2 linked regions of the Medicago truncatula genome follow. The protein of the gene in region 1 interacts with the protein of each later gene in a pairwise test. Links are inferred from orthologs where the notes say so. Each region holds a gene or a part of one and is shown on either strand. Other genes may lie near its edges.

Evidence for each region. The genes of interacting proteins can lie anywhere in the genome.
Region 2: the proteins of protein GIGANTEA (region 1) and probable UDP-N-acetylglucosamine--peptide N-acetylglucosaminyltransferase SPINDLY interact in binary tests that used the Arabidopsis thaliana proteins (3 or more experiments, as listed by UniProt). The link is inferred for Medicago truncatula from reciprocal best matches to the Arabidopsis thaliana genes GI and SPY.

What each region holds. Positions count from the first base shown.
Region 1 is NC_053042.1:47,811,313-47,815,071, reverse strand, and holds the start of protein GIGANTEA, read right to left. Parts: upstream 2,804-3,759; 5' UTR 2,605-2,803; intron 2,082-2,604; 5' UTR 1,981-2,081; coding exon 1,879-1,980; intron 611-1,878; coding exon of another isoform or gene 609-610; coding exon 537-608; intron 419-536; coding exon 364-418; exon of another isoform or gene 344-363; intron 254-343; coding exon 111-253; intron 1-110. UniProt on the Arabidopsis thaliana protein: Involved in regulation of circadian rhythm and photoperiodic flowering. May play a role in maintenance of circadian amplitude and period length. Is involved in phytochrome B signaling. Stabilizes ADO3 and the circadian photoreceptor ADO1/ZTL.
Region 2 is NC_053042.1:29,880,063-29,883,821, forward strand, and holds the start of probable UDP-N-acetylglucosamine--peptide N-acetylglucosaminyltransferase SPINDLY, read right to left. Parts: upstream 2,268-3,759; 5' UTR 1,964-2,267; exon of another isoform or gene 1,954-1,963; intron 1,367-1,953; exon of another isoform or gene 1,362-1,366; 5' UTR 1,352-1,361; coding exon 947-1,351; intron 1-946. UniProt on the Arabidopsis thaliana protein: Probable O-linked N-acetylglucosamine transferase (OGT) involved in various processes such as gibberellin (GA) signaling pathway and circadian clock.

The DNA of each region.
Region 1 (3,759 bases):
AGAGAAACAGAAAGCAAAAATATTATATTTCACAAACAAAGGATTTATTGATATGAAATTGAATTATATACAAAGTAAATAAGAATACCGGGCAAGGATTATATTTATACCTCATCTTTTGGGCAGACTAAAGATATCAAAGAAGCAAATGGAGGACTAGTCTTATCATAGACTAGTGTACCATCGATAATACACGAAATAATAGGAAGTACAACTGCATGCCCATGCTCTGGATGATGAAGGACAAATGTTGCTGGATGTACAAGTAAATACATAGAGAAGTTAGCACACATAAAGTAGAAAGAGTGATATTCTTGTCGACTCAAGCATGATTTAAACTAACATGGGATTAAGCATAAATACCCAAAACGTCATCAAAGAGAATAATTTCCTTCGACGGGTAACGGTTGCGGATCAACTGTCAAAGTAATACAGAACAGTGAGTGACATTCAATAAAAACTCTTGGATCTCTCATGTCAAAAACAACACCACAAAAAATAAGAATCACAATTTTAATAAGTAAATAGAAGTGTACCTCAGCAATATCGTCAGCAAACTGTTCTGATGTAAACTGAATCAAGTACTCAACATATGCAGCAATTTGATCCTGGGAAAAGCAGAAAACAACATCATATAAACCAATGAAATGGAGTTACAGTGAGCTTCCAATATTCTAGAAGCCATAAAATGCTTTCATATGGAATAAGAAACAATTATTTTCAGCATAACAAATGATCAAAACACTGCTGCTTTCTACCTAGCAAGATACATTTAGAAAAGATTGTCAATACGCGGGAAACTTGTGTGAAACCACATTGACAAAACACTGCGGCTCAGTCAGAATTAGCTCTAACTAGTGGAAGCATCAGCTGAGATAAGTAATTGACTCTTAACTTATAAAAAAAGTCCTTATAAGTTTATGACTGCTTATGGAGAAGTTATATGCAGCGTGTTTTGAAAAGGTTAAGGTGCAAAAGTTAATTTCAACTTATGCAAGAAACTATTATTTAGAAAATTCATAATTGATTGTAAGATTACTTCAACTTTTCTTTTCTTGTAAATGTTTGCTAAAACTGTAATCAAATTGGCCCCACAAAGTCAATGCTTATATCACCCCATTTCTGGGACACTTTGTTTTACTTCAAAGTTTGCAATTGCCATAACTAGAAAGTTACAAAACAAATTATTCCTGCTGTCGATAGATCTCAGTTGTTCAATGAAGATCAGACAGTTCATATCCTGTGTTGTATTTTAAATCCAATTTGATAAAATCAAAATATGTATTTGTCTGATCTTCATCCAACGCCAAGACCTGCTGATTGTAGCATATGCATAGATTCTGAAATATCACATCACATCATCATGTATTATTTACATATGTTTGTGTGACGTTGTATGTATATGTCTCTTTAACAACATCTCCATATCTGCTACTCCTCTTGAAGAATACCGATATAAAATTTTCAATTCCCTAGTACTCTAAAAGATTTTTTTGGAATAAACTCTAAAAGATTTTTATCAAACATTGGATCATTAAACAAAATAGAGTGAGTTTAAAAACGATACACTAACTATAAAAATGTTTTAGTGTTTACACATACATCCAATCGTATCTCATCATTAGATATTTGTGAAGATATTTTATGAAGTAATATAACAAAGCGATATTTTGTGAAAATATGATTAGATGCATATTTAAAACTTTTTCTAATCTTCAAACTCAACAAAATAATAATAATTAGGATCCTTCCATCCCATCATGTCCTTAAGGCAAACTTTATATTAAAACTCATAAAAATTTAATAAAAAAATACATATACATGAAAAAAGTAAAGAAAATAACTTTCCTAAAACATGGTAAGAGATTAAAATGATACCTTTTTTTGCTGAACATCTTGTGGGGGAGGCCAGAATAATGAAGAAAATTGAAGACGGTCAATCCACCTTTCACTTGTAGCAGCCATAGAAGAAGAAGTCATCAAAAACTTTCAACTCTTGAATCCTTTAGCTTCTGATTATATATGAAAAGCAATTTTATCCCAAATCCATCCAAAACATGATACCAATCAAGTATTAAATCCTGTGTTACCAAACTCATCTTAGTATCCAATTCATCATCATCCACCAAAAAATAATAATTCAAATTTTTTTCATTTGACAGAATAAGACAAACAAATGCATCTCATAGAAAATTGTAGCTATTTCACTACAATAACTACTAGGTTGCTATGTTGAGATTGAATCTGCAAACTTTAAAACAAAATTGTTATTGATTTCTAAATTTATTTTCACTGTGAAAAATGTTAATTTAAAAAATTGAAATGATGAAGATAGGGATGAATCTGAAACAGAGTCCTGGTAAACAGAGCAAAATGAAATTTACAGAATATAAAAAAGTAAATATGTAAGCTAAATATTTAAAGGCTTATAAATAAAAAAAGAATTAAGAAAATAAATATATATCTAACAAGTCAGATTCATAATAGAAATTTTTTGAAGAAATTAAAGTAAAAAATTTGATGAAACTGAAATAAGAAATTAGCACATAACCTGAAAACTGATGGTTTAATTGTGTTAAAAAAAATAGAAAGAAAAATATGTACCTGGGTTAGCTTAGCTGAGCTGTGTGTAGAGCTAATTGGAAATTTTCTGAATTGATAGGATGAGAAGATGTAAGTGTGAGAATGGAGAGTATTGTGTAATGATCAAAAGGAGGAAAGAAATGATAGAAAGAGGGTTGTGGTAAGTTTATAGTTTGGAAATGAAGATGTTAGATAGATAGATAGAATAGAAGAAGAATACAACAAGTGGAGAGAGAAGATCTTTAACAGCCTTGTAATGAGAAGCCTAGATCGACTGCATACGTGGATGCGATATTTTCCTCTCCTCTCAGACATCCACGCCATCTCATGTGCTATATCTATGTATGTATCATTCATGCATGCATGCATGCCCTGTCCCAACCATATTAAGTAACATCACTATATTTTACTATCAGACTTTCATATTTATATTACTTCTTATTGAATTTATATCTACTACATAGAATTGAAATTCAGATAAATATTTAACGTTTGCAAATTTACATAAACGATATTATCATTTGCCACGTGTGCTTAGTTCAATTGATATGCAAGGTTCGGGGTTTAAATCCCGGCCACCACCAAAAAAACAATATTATCATTTTTTTACAATTTAATATATTATCATTTTTTGAAGGAAAAAAAAATATATTATCATATCAGCAAATAAATTTACTTTATTATAATTATGGTATGATATGATTATACATTTAAATAATATATATTTATTTTTTTGCACAAATTTAAATAATATTTATATTACATGGTGTTTTTACATTTTAAAAAATATTAAAAATTGATAGGAAAAAAATAAATATATATATATATATATATATATATATATATATATATATATATATATATATATATATATATTTGTTATGTTACCTTCCTTTAAAAGAATGTTATGTTACCTTCCTTATACTCTATGTGTATTGGGGATGATTGATGTTTAAAGTCGTTATTTTAATTTTTTTACTTAAATGTATCTTTTTTAAAATTTCTCTCCTCCATCTCATTTTGGAATCAATTTTGCTGATGTGCCTTATTCATTAATGATGAGGCACCAGTTGTCTGGTCGCATTGAATTTCCATATCATTAATAATTTTATTTATTCATTAACTTTTATTTTAAAAATATTTTTATTATTCAAATATAATATTAAATTAAAATAA
Region 2 (3,759 bases), about 18 Mb from region 1:
CATCCTATACCATTCTGTTCTTCAATATTATAGTGCAAATCCTCGAAGAAAATTCTTTGCTCGCTACATAGGTACTAAGGAACTGAATGGAAGTGGATAGGAAAAGATTCTCTACACTTGTATGTAAATCATGACTATGACTATTTCAGGTTCTTGATTTCAGTATGGACAAACATAATCAACACTGTATTGAACTCGTATCAAGGGGACAAGCAATCAGGCACCATGATGGCTATGATATGTAGAATCTTCTCATTTAAATCTAAGTGGACAAACATATATCACTGCAAGGATTTACGAGGGAACCCCACATGATTTGATTGTATTAGGTTTTTATGTAATGTAACTTGCATATTTTCAATATTACAGTCAATAATGTATTGCCAGGATTTATGGGAGTCAATGCATAGTTGAATATATTAGATTCATAGGAAATAGTTCAACTCTTTATTGTTGTCTTGTAAAACTAAAATGTAATAATGTATCGATTCTTTTATGCATATAAATATCAAGGATGCTGGCACCAAGTGCCCTTACTAAGTAATTCACAGAACTTCAATCTATTTTTTATCAGTCTGTTCAAAAAGTTTCCTATGTGTTCTACTGTTAAAAAAAGACTTTACAATCTACATTAATAAGCACATATTCAAGGCATAATCAGAAACCGATCATACTCATTAGAATCGTATTATATGCCTCACTCAATCTAATATATAAAGCCTAGAAAATTATGTAAGATGGACGCAATCAAGAAATAAAATCTATAGTCACCACTAAGTCGGGTAAATACAGGGTTTATATAAGAATAAGAAAACTTTTCCATGTGGCAAAAGCACTGCTGTATCATCTACAAATGGAATTAGAAAACAAAAATACCATGCTATTTCATCATATATATAAAAAAATAAATTATATAGAAAAAACTAGTCATCTAGCATGTACATACCTCAGCCGCCTCCATCAAGCGACCTTCTTCTTTGTAAAGAATGCCACAATGTGTGAGAGCACAAGCATTCTGAGGATCCAACTTAACAGCTTCCGAAAAACTATCAAAAGCAAGCCTACCCATATTCTGCATCTGCAAGCATATCCCTTTTCCAATGAGAGCCTCTACATTTCCACCATCACTCTCCAAAACACGCTCATACAAAGCAAGAGAGTCCGTAAACTTGTTCCTCGAACGCAAAATGTTGGCGAAAGAAATATCGTCTTTCACTTCAGATCTTTTTTTCCCCGAAACAGTATCATCTCCACCAGCACTAACAGATGGTTCTTTCACTTTCAAAAAACCATTCTCTCCGCCTAACTCCTTTTCTTTTCCATTCCCATCATTTTCTTCCATCCAAGCCATCTTAATCACACTTTCCTACCCACAAACAAAAACATTTTTCACAAAGTTATAATCTTGCACTCTTATCAACACAATGCCAATGACCAAAAAGACTGGAAGATAGCCATTTTGGCTGATGAATGTGTGAGGCGTTGTCATTATAGTCTCTTGAGGGAGTTTGCGATTTCGATACATTCAGGAACTATAATGACAGCACCTCGCACATTCAAAGAGACCAAAATCGTCGAAAAAAATCCAATTTTCATAGTAACTCCAATACTAATTAATACTAAATACAAACAACCACAACAATACATATAAATAAAAGGGTCGCGCTAACAAGAACTCTAAGGACACTAATTAATAAAGCTAAAAGTATAAATTTTGCGCCCGAAACAATAAATTTTAAACTTTTATAAAGTTAAATCCGAAATTTTCAATACAAAAATTTTATATTTATTAACTTAAACAATGCCCTGAGAGCACTCATTGCACTTTTCAAAATAAAATACCAAAAAATGAATATGAAATTCATCCAAAAAAAAATAGAAAAACTAAAACCCTAGGAAGTACGGAAAAAAAAGTAAATAAATGAAATTGAAAACTAGGGTTTGGGAACTTACGAGAAGGTTCTAGAAAGTTGTTGTTGGTGTTGTTGAAGTGGAGGTGGAGAGAAGGTGAAGATGAAAGGAAGAGTGGAAGTTTTCCTCCGGTGAAGAGTGGTGGTGGTGGTGGCTGAGATGCTCTTCTTCCTCTCCGGTGACGGCGTTTGGAGGATGAGTCCACACACTACCTGAGACTGTTTCGTTGATTACAACATCGGAATTGGATGGACGCAAAGTGACAACGCAGGCTTTTTCTTAGCTTGCTTTACTTTACTTCGCCCCCTTTTATCATACCACCATTATTAATCAACTAAAGTGTAAATTTTAAGCTATGTTTTTTTTATCAAATTTTAGTTTTGTCAATTTTAAATTGTAATAAATTTTATTTATTTTTTGAGAGATAACAAATTATATTTATTTTTAATAATAAATATAATAAATAAATAAATAATTATATTTTTTAATAATATCAACAATATAATATTTTTATAGCTGACTTTTTTGTTAAACCTCTTGATTCTTGTGGACGAAAATCATGATTTGGATCGAATTATTCAAATTTGAGGTTGACTTAGAGTTTGATTTCAAAATAATATATCTATAACCAATATCTCAAGCCAATTGAAGACCACTTCAAATTGTTGTGAGCTCACTAATAAATCATATGTTTATCTTGTTGGACCTACGAAGATGGTTTGTCTGGTGATATCTGTTATATTGAGGGATTAAGCTTTACTCATCCACCGCAAGTCCTTCTTCACCGAAGGAGGGTGGTGTACCTGCACGTGCTTCGACGCCCAAGTTAGTAAAGGGTGAAAAAGAGATTGTGGCTATATTATAGGTAAGAAGTGTCAAACCTAACTCAAGGTTAAGCATGGGTATATATATAATGGGCAAGTAGGGTTTTGGTTGTCAAGCCTTCACTTGGATAGTTGTAGCATGAATTCCGAACAGGTAGGTTAGGATCTATTAGTTTGGACCATAATCTTGTGGGATATATGGTGTGTCCGTCGCATGGTGTCGCCTGCTTCGGATTGGACCTCAGGGCCAGTTCAAAATAGTTTCCCCTCAAATTATAGGCTGAGGGAATCAGATTGTAGCTTGATAAAGTCTCATGGGGGATTCGCTTTAAGAATGAGGGTCTTGTCGGTCTTTGTACCTTTGGATTTCATCATCTCACTGAGCTTTGAATGACCCTACGAGGTTTTTGGCGATACCACTTCCAAGGCTTCTTAGCCTACTGGTTCGGTGGCGCCTAGACCTTCGTGGGTTCATTTGAGTGACCCTTTATGGGAAGTTTCGATTATTCACCTGACGGCCTTAAGAGTTCGTCGTTGATGATGTTGTTTTTCCTTCTGGATGAATGACTTCCTTGGTTAATATGCCACCTTCATATCTTATATCATGACTGTTTACATAGGATTTGGTCTTTCCTCCTCATGGAGTTCGAGACAGAAACCAAGGTCTTTAGTTTAGGTTAATCATAAAGGCTTCTGATTCATGGCCTTTTCACCTTCGTGCCAACTTGGTCTTGGACTCTCAGGAGATGTGTGTGCTTCCCTTCTCCAGTATTTCATCATCGATGAGGCTCGCTTGAACGATAATAGCAGCCTGCTTGTCCCGACCCAAAGGGTAAAAGTTGCTTCATTCTGCCACTTTTCAACGGTTTCTAACCTCTTGTGTGATAAGTTTTCGTTTGCTGGGTTTCCCCATGATAGGTTTCAAGTAACATGGTCAAGTCCATTTGAGACACCTTTTATTTTTTGGATTTGGTGTCGTTGGATTGATCTATATCGACTTCTCGTTCTTCTAGTCGTTGAATTT